Rhinolophus ferrumequinum: one gene and its partners. The protein of the gene in region 2 purifies or fractionates together with the protein of the main gene of each other region. This does not show direct contact. Links are inferred from orthologs where the notes say so. Each region holds a gene or a part of one and is shown on either strand. Other genes may lie near its edges.

What was found.
Region 1: the proteins of DNAJC7 (region 2) and STUB1 purify together in Homo sapiens (affinity purification with mass spectrometry; 3 studies listed by BioGRID and IntAct, with this or other methods). This does not show direct contact. The link is inferred for Rhinolophus ferrumequinum from reciprocal best matches to the Homo sapiens genes DNAJC7 and STUB1.
Region 3: the proteins of DNAJC7 (region 2) and BLTP2 purify together in Homo sapiens (co-immunoprecipitation; 3 studies listed by BioGRID and IntAct, counting the BioPlex papers as one, with this or other methods). This does not show direct contact. The link is inferred for Rhinolophus ferrumequinum from reciprocal best matches to the Homo sapiens genes DNAJC7 and BLTP2.

The regions. Positions count from the first base shown.
Region 1 is NW_022680357.1:2,625,613-2,629,288, reverse strand, and holds STUB1 (E3 ubiquitin-protein ligase CHIP), read right to left. Parts: upstream 2,887-3,676; coding exon 2,728-2,886; intron 2,229-2,727; coding exon 2,030-2,228; intron 1,943-2,029; coding exon 1,714-1,942; intron 1,583-1,713; coding exon 1,495-1,582; exon of another isoform or gene 1,437-1,494; intron 1,362-1,436; exon of another isoform or gene 1,271-1,361; coding exon 1,214-1,270; exon of another isoform or gene 1,125-1,213; coding exon 1,008-1,124; intron 936-1,007; coding exon 810-935; 3' UTR 557-809; downstream 1-556. Other genes in the region: JMJD8 (jmjC domain-containing protein 8), read left to right, coding at 73-140, 219-353, 427-507; uncharacterized protein LOC117019799, read left to right, coding at 2,885-3,444, 3,517-3,610. UniProt on the Homo sapiens protein: E3 ubiquitin-protein ligase which targets misfolded chaperone substrates towards proteasomal degradation.
Region 2 is NC_046304.1:37,894,467-37,898,209, forward strand, and holds the start of DNAJC7 (dnaJ homolog subfamily C member 7), read right to left. Parts: upstream 2,685-3,743; 5' UTR 2,612-2,684; coding exon 2,535-2,611; intron 2,266-2,534; exon of another isoform or gene 2,247-2,265; intron 1-2,246. UniProt on the Homo sapiens protein: Acts as a co-chaperone regulating the molecular chaperones HSP70 and HSP90 in folding of steroid receptors, such as the glucocorticoid receptor and the progesterone receptor.
Region 3 is NC_046304.1:18,800,630-18,804,372, reverse strand, and holds the start of BLTP2 (bridge-like lipid transfer protein family member 2), read right to left. Parts: upstream 2,277-3,743; 5' UTR 2,179-2,276; coding exon 2,111-2,178; intron 1,278-2,110; coding exon 1,154-1,277; intron 665-1,153; coding exon 615-664; intron 322-614; coding exon 174-321; intron 1-173. UniProt on the Homo sapiens protein: Tube-forming lipid transport protein which binds to phosphatidylinositols and affects phosphatidylinositol-4,5-bisphosphate (PtdIns-4,5-P2) distribution.

The DNA.
Region 1 (3,676 bases), on a different chromosome or scaffold from region 2:
GGAGATTTGGAGGGGTGGGATGGGGCGTGCAAATTGGTTTTGATACTCAGCTACTCATAACTGCCCCCACAGGAGCTGGCTCCGGGGTGCCCTTCCACTGGCACGGGCCTGGGTTCTCAGAGGTGATCTACGGCCGCAAGGTCAGCACAAGGTGGTGGCTGAGACTTGGGGCTCACTGACCACAGCACAAAGAGTGACCTTGCTGCTTCCACCCCCAGCGCTGGTTCCTGTATCCCCCTGAGAAGACACCCAAGTTCCATCCCAACAAGACCACACTGTCCTGGCTCCGGGACACGTACCCAACCCTGACGCCATCGGCACGGCCCCTGGAATGTACTATCCAGGCTGGTGAGGTCAGTCACTGGTAGGAGGGGGCGGGGTTGGGCTGAGGGCCCCCAATTCATCCCTGTGCCCTACCCCATCCAGGTGCTATATTTCCCTGACCGATGGTGGCACGCCACACTCAACCTCGACACCAGTGTCTTCATCTCCACCTTCCTCAGCTAGCCAGAGCAGGCAGCTGGCAAGTCCCATCGCACACCGGCACACAGCCCTATGACTGCTCACAGGTTTTATTACAGGGACAGTGGTGGCAGCAGCAACCTCAGCCCAAGCCACCCTAGCCTGCTGTTTCTGGCCCAGAAGGGGGACGGGGAGGCTCATGGCCAACCAGCAGACCTGATGGAGGATGGGGTGGGGACACCAGAGCAGGGATCCAGGGGCACAAACTATGTACAGGGGTTGGGGGCTATCGCCCCAAGGCCCTCCTGGGCCAGGGTGTCAGGTAAGGTGGGGCCAGTGGCCCTGCCTCAGTAGTCCTCCACCCAGCCATTCTCGGAGATGAACGCGTCGATGACTTCTTTCATGGCCAAGTTGGGAATGAGTTGTTCCTGGGTCAGGGGGCTCCGGGTCACAGGGTCAAAGTGGCCCACGCGCTGCAGTGACAACAGGGTCAGACGGTGCTCAGTGGGCCCAGGCCCTGCCCCCAGCGCCTGTGAGTCCCTCACCTGCAAATGCTCCTCGATGTCCTTTCGGTCATAGGTGATGCCACTGGGCGTGATGCACGGCTCCCGCATCAGCTCAAAGCTGATCTTGCCACACAGATAGTCAGGGATATCCCGCTTCTGCCTCACACAGGAGCAAGTTAGGGACCAGGAAGCGGACGCTGCTCCAATTCCTGCCGCCCACAGGCCCCAGAGAACACACCACTCACCTTTCTCTTCTCATCCACTTGAGAAAAGAGCTCATCCATGTCTGCTAAGTACTTGTCCTGCAAAGAGCCAAGCAGCCACGCGTGGGCCAGACACCACATCTGCTTTCCCCAGACAGGCACACTCAGACCCCACGGGAGCCAGGGCCACCCCCCCGTCACATGCGCACAAACACACACAGACCCACGTGAGGGCACACTCAGACCCCACGGGAGCCAGGGCCACCCCCCGTCACATGCACACAAACACACACAGACCCACGTGGGGGCCGGGGCACCCTCACGTGCTTGGCCTCGATGCAGGCCTGCTGGGCCCGGACGTGGCCGTCGTCCTCATCACCCTCATGGTTCCGCTGACACTCTTCCAACTCCCTGAGGGTTGACCGGGAGCGGGTCAGAGAGGTCTGGCTAGGGAAGGTCACCTTCCACCCCAACCTTGGGCTTGTTCAGGCCTCATCCCCCCGTCTGTCTCCTGTTCACCAGTGCTGGCCCTCAATAAATACTTGTGTTCGTGACTCAAGAATGGTGACTTGTGGGGGGTCCTGGAGCCTGCCAGCACAGCCCACCTCTCCCGCTCAGCCACAATGAGGCGCGTGAGGTAGGAGTGCAGCTCGTTTTCCTGGTGGATGCGTCGCTCCTCGATGCTGTTCCAGCGCTTCTTCTTGGCGATGCGCAGAGCGCTGGGAATGTCATCTCCGAAGTTGAGCCGCTGCTCCTTCGCCAGATTGTAGGCTGAGGGAATAGAGTTCAGCTCATCCGCTGGCCAGTCCACCCGCCTGGCCCCGGGCACCCCCACACCCTGCCAGCCCGGAGGCCCACCTCGCTGCAGGTTGGCGATGGCCTCGTCATAGCTCTCCATCTCCAGCTGGCATTGCCCCAGGAAAAAGTGTGCCTTCACAGACTGCCCGTCCAGCTCCAAGGCACGCCGGCAGTCGGCCAGGGCCTGCTCATGCTGCTGCATCTTCAGGTAGCACAGTGCCCGGTTTGTGTAATACACCGCCACCAGGGGATTCCGGGTCTGGGGACCAGGACCGGCCAGTCAGCATGAGGGCGTGACCTCAGCCTGCCCCCGCAGTCCTAAGGCCTGTCCTGGCGTGGGGTTCACGGCTGGAAAGCTGCTAGTATCTAGGTTTCTCAGCTTCAAAGCTCCTGGATCCTGAGGATGGCTGGAAGGTGGCGTCTGGTCCTGAGGCCTGCCCGAGCCCACCCTCTTGACTCCAGTAGGTTCTGTAAGGGTAACTTTCCCAGACCTGTGGAAATCCCTGGCCTCCCGGGCTCTGAGGGCCTCAAGCACCCTGAAGCTTTCACCCGCCATAGTTCTCCGGCGGGGGGCTCGAGAGCCGCGGCTTCGGCCCCTTTGGAACGAGATCACCATTGAGTCCTCAGACCCCAAACGCCACCCCCGTCCGGGCCCAGACACTCGGTAGGTCTGGCGGCGGCGGCCAGGCAGGCCCGGCAGGCCCCGCCCCCTCCCCTGGCCGGGGCGCCGGCCCCACCCCCGACGCGGGCACACTCACGATCGCGCGGCCATAGCAGGCCGCCGCCTCCGGATACTTGCGGCCCACGAAGAGCCGGTTGCCTTGCTCCTTGAGCTCCTGCGCGCTAGGGCTCTTCTCGGGGCTTCCACTGGCGGCGCCCAGTCGCGCGCCACCCTCCTTCTCCTCCTTGCCTTTCATGGCGCCGCGCGGCACGGCCTGGGCTCCGCTCCCAGGCTCCGCGCCCGGCCCGCCCTGTGCCCGCAGCCCGAGCCCGCAGCCCGAGACCGCGATCCGCTCGGGCCCGGTCCAGCGATCCGCCACCGGAACTTCCGGCCGCGCGGGGCGGGGCGGAGCGAGCGGGGCGGCCGGACACGCGCGAGTGGGAGGGACTTCGCGTGCGCCCGACGCTCTGTGGGGGGGGCCAGCGGAAGTGTGCGCTCGGGGAGACGCGACCCACGACGTCGGAAGTCTGGAGAAGAGCCGAGAGCTGCCCAGGTGGCTCCGCCCCTCGCACTCGGGGCTGGTCCTTCCAGAAGTCGGTCCGACTCACGCCGCGCGGCCCGCCACGCCCATCAGAGGCCCCGTCCCCGCGGCCGGTCCCGCCCCCTCCGAGACCCGGCCCTTGAACATGGCGGTCGCCTGCGGGCTGTGGGGCTGTGAGGACCCGAGCCGCTGGGCCGCCATCCTGGCGCGCCACGGGGAGGTGCTGCGGGCGCGCGCGGGCCCCCGGGGGCAACTGGAAGCCCTGGATCGATGGTAGGGCGATGGGGGCATCGGTAGGGCGGGCGACCCCCGTTGCCCGGACTCCCCGTCACCGCCTTTTCCCAGGTACCGAGAGGATTTGCCCATGGCCATTGAGGGCCGCGCGGAGAAGCACGTGACACGAGAAGAGCTAGAGCGGCTGCTGGCGTGGAAGCTGGCGGTGAGGGGCTTCCACGTGGGGGGCGGAACAGCGGCGGGCGGGCCCGCCTCCTAGGGGCGGGGCTTC
Region 2 (3,743 bases):
TTTAGCCTCTCAGCTGCTATGGGAGAAAAAGAACTTTGCCAGAGTGACAGGCAAAAAAATGAAGTCCATTTCTTTTCTCTCTAGAGATACTAAAGCTAAGGAAATAAAACATGTAGCCATTTAAAATGCTGTCATCATGAGGTCTAGTGTCTTGAAAGCTCCTCTCATTTTGCCCCCTGCGGAACTGTAACAATTTAGTAGCACAGCAGGATGTCCCTGAGTCTACAAGCAAGGAAGGAAGGAATCCCTGCTGAGCTTCACAAAAACCCAAGAGGCCCATCAACTCTCAGTGTCCCCGAGTGAACTGGTAGTAGGGCTGTAATGAGAGACATGACTTGGTCAAATGACAAACCAAACCAGATAGTGAAGGGCACTTGTAAGGGATGTCCCCATCTCTGCCCTCTGCTATGGCTACATAGGATTCCAAGATACGTGAGAAATATAAACAACCTTCCCCCAAAACTTCTAAATTCCCATTCCATTTTCAGCATTGGAAAACCATACATAACAAGGCTTTTTCTTACTAAAGATCCCAACATTTACCTTCTGAAGGATGGCAGAAAGTCAAACCGTGATTTTTTTTTTAACTTCGCTATATTTTCCTTTTGATTTGTTCACCTAAGTGGTATATGATAAACACCTATGTCTTATTATGCCTAAAAGAGATCTATATAAATATGTATAACATATAAGTCTATTTGGTAAGAATGCATTTTTTATAGTTATTTTTAAATTACAGTTCTTTTTTCTTAGTGGTAGAAAAAACAATTGTGCATTTTACAATTAATGACATTTTAAGTTTCATGAAATAAGGCAGTTAATGTAAGTCAACATTCTCTCTTATTTGGTTGTACTGCTACCAAATATCATATGCTTTTGTGTAATGTGGTCACATTGTCGCATTACCAGTTCTATGCTCAGGTTCATATACTACTTTATGATAGAATATCCTGTGAGGCCATAATTTTATTTTTTAAGGAAAAGGATTTGCTTTAGATAGGGGACTTTGAACAGGAATCCAAATTAGGGACAATCCCTACATCACAGCTTTACACTGAGTAAATGAGTTTTTTTCAATTATGTAACAGCCCAAGACCCTAATAATAGCACAAAGAACCCCAAACTGTTTCCATATGAAATAAATCCTTACAATTAATTTAGGCTCTGTGTTGGGGGCAGTTTTATTTCCCATTTTGCAGTTCCTTAATGAAGCTGATGCTGCTGAATTCTAAATACCTGGAAAGAAGGAGGACAGATGTGAAGACTCAAAACTAATAAGAAAGACTAGACTCTGGTACCCTGACTTCTCTGATATCCCACGGACCTATACTTTGTCAAGCCTCTCAGCTCCCAACAGGTCAGGAATTTGGAACCCTGGCTGCAGTAACTATCCTTAAGCTTGGTAACTATTCATTCTGCCTCACTGAATACCTCTTACGTGTCTAACTTATGTTTCTAACTTGGATAGCAAAAAAAAAAAAAATCTCAGAATCCTGATTTCAGATCTCATGCATCAAAACTTCAAATCACCCAGATTGAAAACATAATGAAATGGCCTTGGTACAAAGACATGAAATCTGTAGGAAGGAGACTGAGGGGATTGTAGACAATCTGTGCTGATAAGGGCTCCAAACTTCCAGAACCTTTTCCTTAATGTTGCTTCAGGATTAGGACAAGTATGACTACCCACAACTGTGTTCCAACCCCATTTCCCACAACCTGCTTTAGCTGTAGCCAGAATCCAGAGTGTTCTCGAAAAACACTCACTCAGCAGCTGCCTTGGCTAGTCGGGACTGGCAATCTCGAGCCCCTGCGGCTGCCCGGTAGTGCCAATAGCGCCCAAGGTGCTGCCCTCCTTGCTGCTTAAAATAAGAAAGCCCAGTCCAGGGAAGAATGCGGATGTAACTCGGAAGGGTACACGGAGGGATGGAGGAAGAGGAGTTTGACGTGTACAGCGTGAAACAAGCCCCTCACTCCTCTTTCTCTATCATCTTCGACTTCTGGGTTAACAGGGAGGGGGTGGCGACCAGGTCAACAATGGAGACACACAATCACCTCAGACCCCGGCTAGTGCTCCCTGAGATACAATTACGGACGAAAACGAGTAAAGAGAGCACAAGCTGTGGAGATGCTAAATGCTGATAGACAACAATGCACAGAAGTTAATAAGAGAAGGCGGGGGGGTAAGAGGCAATGTAAGGAAGTTGACATTGTCGCCGCGCCGCCTCCCCCACCCCGCAACAGACCTCAGATACCCTCAGGGACCAGGTCTCCACCATAAGGACCTTCCTCTCTGCAGGAGAACGAGGCCGTCCGTGCTTCAGCAACCCGGCCAGGCGGAAGCGGGAGAGGAGGACCGACCTCCGAGAGCGCCCCTTCAGGGGGTCCATCCGGACTAGATCTCAGATTGGGGGGGGGGTCTGCGGAGGGCGGGGCATCTCCTCAACAGCTAGGGGCTGCATCCTGGCAGGGACCGGTTGCCCGGAGCCACGGAGCTGAAGCTCCCCCCTTCCACTACACTGCCACCCCGTTACCTCTTCGCTTCTGCGTTGTCGGGCACCTCCGGCTCGGTCGCCGCCATTACCACATCGCACTCCGCGGCAGCCGCCATCTTACCGCCGAGACCAGAGAGCCGGGTGGGAGGCCGGCGGTGAAGAGCACTTCCGGTCGGAGCATAGAGCAGCTCGGAGACGCTGCGCCCAGAGGGGCTCCCTCGGGCCCGTCTACCAACGAGAGGCTCCGCTTCGGGCCAGAGCGGCCTCCCGCCCCCGGAGGTCCACGTTGATCTCCGCGCCGGGGCGGGGGCCCAGGGACAGTTCTTGTACGTGGGGGGCGCCACTTTACCCGTGGGTCGAAAGGGGGTTACAGGAGGGGTCGCCTCTCTAGCCTTGACTTTTCTCAGTATGCCGAAAACCTCGTTGCCATAGCAACTTCCAATCCTGTAGCGTCTCGAGGGAGTCTGAGTTGGGTGGGGACCCAGTGACCCAAGACTCTGGAGGGAAAGAGCGCTCCCCACACTACTACCTTCCCGATCTTGGAGTGTGTCCACAGCTTCCTCCTGGGAAAAGCAAGAAGAGACACTTTGAGCCCGGTTCCCCTAGCTTTCATCGGCCCCTGGAAGCCCTGCCCAGCCAAGCTAGGGGAACGCAGGGCGTCTTCACCCCACGCCTTTCATCCTCTCTGGATCTCCAGGCACCACCTGGTTCATCACCCTAATGACGCTGACCCTTTTATGAGGTTCCTTTCATGTCAGCCGCCTGGGAGTGCCATCTCAGCATTAAGCCCCAGTGGCACAGAGCCCCAGACCCTGCCCTCGAGTTTATAAGGCAGCTCGCGGGGTGAGGTCCCTGCCCCAGTGCCCTCAGTATTCCCACCCCTCATATACACTCCCTGCTCACCACGCTTGTCTTTCCGAATGCAGTCTGGATTGGGAACTCATAGAAGGCAGGGACACAGCCTAATCGTCTTTGTAGTACTTAACCTCACCCAAACCAATAATTTTTGTGGGCTTGAATTAAATTGAGGTTTCCTGAGGTTAAATTGAGAGAGTTTGAGGTTTAAAATTTAAAACTATGGGAAACTAAAATAAGATGGGAGCAAGGGAATTTAAAAAGGATCTACCTTCTTCCTCCAGTAAAACAGTATATGCTGTTGTCCCCAGTAAAACAGTATGTGCTTGCGTGGTCTCTGCCTATCAGAGTGCCAAAGGAGCTGAAACCACACCCACCATCGGGTAGGGGAGA
Region 3 (3,743 bases), about 19 Mb from region 2:
AAAAACAAAGAGGAACAATAATTAATATCAAGGCACTGGCTTTTCTTTTCCAGCGGAGAAAGAATAATAGGCAGCTCTTAGTATTATGCACCCCGATAGTAGAAAAATCCACTTGTGACTCCCAAGCCAGCCATTCCTAGTACAGTCCAGGAAAGTGGAAGTTGTCGTCTCACCTGGCAGAAGATCTTCAATAAGGATGGGCTAAAGGACAGCTCTTTTTGATGCACCCCAGCGCTCTGGGAGAATGGAGCACACAGGCCAGAAACCTTCTGTAGGTCCGTTCTGATACGTACTTCTCCAAAGCACAATGCCACATAGCGTCTGCCCAGAAGAGAAACTTCACTGCCTTCAGGTCCATCCCTTCCATAGCAGTCTCTTTCCCTCCCTCACATTCGCCCCTCCCGGCCTCCTTAGAAATGTAGTTCACATCAGGGAGGACAGTTATCAGTATCTATCTCACAAGATAATAACTTCCAGGCTGACCAGGAGATATCAAGCCAAGAACCCACAGCCCTTCTCGGATTGTAAGGTCTCTACAGGAGAATGTCATTCTGCAAATCCCAATCACAAAATGTTCCCCAAGGGAATAGTGAGGATCTAAGGTAGGTACTCACGGCAGATCATAACTAAGGAGTTTGCTGGAAATCCACAGGCTATCAATTTCCTACAACAGGATGGGAGAAAGCTTTGTACATTAGCTGCGATGTAAGCCATGAGCAGCTTGACAAGTCAGGAAAGGTTCTAAGAAGAGGAGGATGGGTTATAGCCCTTCCCCTAAATACTCTCCCTTCCATTTCCACCAGCTTCTCTCCTCAGCACTATATCCTGCTCCTCAAATGATGTTAGTATTTCTTATGGATAGGTTGCCCCATTTCCCCTCTTAAATTAGAACAGTGAGCTCTTTTATTTCCTGTTATCTTAGTTCTGTGCTTTACTTCTGTATCTTATCAGGACACTGTGCCTGATAAGCATGTTTAACTTAACACCAATCCCAGCGTTCCCAAGCTAACTCTAAGATCATCTTGGCAGAGAGGTGGCAAGACACGGTTAACTAGGAAAGTCACACGGAATTTTTTAAAAAGGAAAATTAAGGGTTGACATTCGGCTGGATCAACCCCACACACACATAGCCAAGGATTTTCCCAGGACTCACCACTGTTTGCTGGTGCTGCTGAAACTTAAGACTGACATTCTGGATCCAAAAAAAGGAGCCAATCTTGAGCTCCGCTTGCAGCTTCTGCTGACACCACTTGGTGGCAAACCTGACAACAAGCCACCTGCAGAAAAATCCCTGTGAGTTCACAGGACCCTCTCCCAATTATGGTGTCCCTCACCCCTGGCTGGTTCTAGAAGCCCTTGCAAAGGATCAAGTCCTGAAGTTGGATCGTCTGGGCAACTCTCCTGTCTCCAAACACACCAGTCTGTTAGATACATTGGGCCACAACTCATCAGAATCCTACCCCCAGAGTATCCCCTCTACCCAGGTGAAATCAGACAAACTAAACTCCACCTTCTAAACTGGGGACAAAGAAAGCAACTCCTCAAATCTTGAGGAAGCCCACAGGTAGAGAGAGGAGGACCCACTAGGAGTCGAAGTGCAGGCAGTCGTGTCAGATGTGCCATCACACACTCCCCAAAGGATCTCTGTCTTCGCCCTCCAGACATGTGTCCGAAAGAAGGCACTGTGGGGTCATACCGGGCCAGCTCCAATGCCGCTCTCCCTTGGGCAGCCAGACCTGTTCCGGCTTCCCAGGGCGAGGCTGCAGGTGCCCTCTGCGCTCGGTGAAGAGGACACTCGGGCGTGTAAAGGGGACAGGGAGACCACCGAGCCAGGCTGCTTCCTCACACACACATCTATTCAGCTCCAGCCTCAGCATCTCCTCAGGCCTCGGCTGCTCCCTCAGTCTCTCCCAATCCCAGCTCCTCCGCGCCTGCTCCGGCCTGCGCCCCCGCTCGACCCCTCTCCCGCCGCCTCCCGCGCACGGTCCCTTCCAGCCCTCTCCCCCTTCGTCTCCCCGTCCCGGACGCCTCTTCCCAGCGCGCGCCCGGTCCTCAGTCTCTCTTCCTCCCACTCCCCGCCCTAACCCCGCCGTAGCCGGGATCCCCTCACCGGCCTAGGAAGAGGGCGCACAGCACAACCAACAGCAGGGCCAACAGCGCGGCTAAGAACAGGGTCATTACGGCCCCGGCCAGGCCCGGCCTGGCTCCGGCCCCCGCCCTACCGGGCCCCCTCCCTCCGGCTCCGTGCTGCGCCGCCGCGGGCCGACCAGCCGCGCGCGCAGGGATAGCACGGGACCAGGAAGCGTTGGCGCGCGTGCGCCCCGCCCCCCGCAGCCCGCCAGCCAACAGCTGTCTCCTAGCCCAGCCCCGCCCGGCGCGCGCAATCAAGCAGGGCCGACTGGCTGCAAGTGCGAAGTACAGGCGTGGCTCCGGGAGGAGAGCGCGGGGGAGCGGACCTCGCACAGGCTGACACGCCAGCTCCGCTCCGGGGCGCACCCTTCCGCGCCGGGAAATGTGGAGCCGCGGGCTTGCGTGGGGGCTGGGGTCTAACCTGCTCCCTAGCTGGCGGTGGAGCTGGCTGGCTCATGTTGGCCGCGGAGAGTTCCACTAGCAAAGCACGCTCCAGGGAAAGTTAGTCGGTTTGGCCACTTAAGGCCTGGACCGAGGACACTGCTGAAGATCACACTCCTAGGTCTAAGTAGCTCTCCTGTCTTATTAAGGGACCTTGTCTGAAAATCATGGAGGAGGAAACCAAGAGGTAATTAATTATACGCACTCAAAAATCCCACTTCATTACATCCACTAAGGAATGAGTTAATTCATTAACTGAATACTGTTGCAGTCAGCTGATTTGTATTGAACTACTGTGTGGGCAGCACATTCTGGACCCTTCATTGGAGAAATTTTCAGTGTGTACTGTGCATAGTGCAAACTAGGCACTGGGCGGGAGGGACACCACAGCAGTAGACCATATTGTTCTTGCCCTTCAACAACAGTTTACCTGGGAAGCAAACATAATTACACCAAATAGAGAATTGGGCCAACTTAATTTTGCGTTTCTTTCTCTGAGGGAATTAGACAAAGGTCCCTTCCAATTCTAGCTCTGTGAGGCTAATACAAGCTAAAAAAAAATTGAGGAATTCAAAATAAATAGTTCACATACCTTTGCTCTCAGTTCCTAATCTCCATAAACATCTGATTTTACCCAGAGACTCTTCCACTCCTTCAGATCAAGCACCATTTCAGATTTCACCTAGGTTGCCCAAAGTTTTTACCCCTCCAACTGTTTTTTTTCCTTCTCTAGTCTTCTCATCAGTCATTTCACATCTTCCCCAGGGCTCCACCATCTTTCTAGTTCGTATCTCTCAAGCACTGTATTTCCTTTATCCTCCTTATAATCTGCAACTTCCCATCAGGGTATGTTCTGTCTGTGAACCTTCAGGGAAGGCCCAACAAACTCTGTCCGAGCCAAGGAGGGGAACCTGGCAACACATCTCCCTATTCTCATTCATCGTGGCCAATCTGTTCCCTTTATTGCACTGATTTCTAACACTTCCTTTCTTCTTTCTTCCCAGACTGTTACCACCCTACTCCCAACTACCTTGATAAGACTGAAATGTTTTTATCATTTGTCTACTTTCTGGAGAGATTTCAAGGAATCAATGCAACGGAAGTGGAGTAAGGGCAGAGGGCGGAGATGGAGCTCAACTAGTTCATGGTCTCAACTTACTGAACCAAGTCCT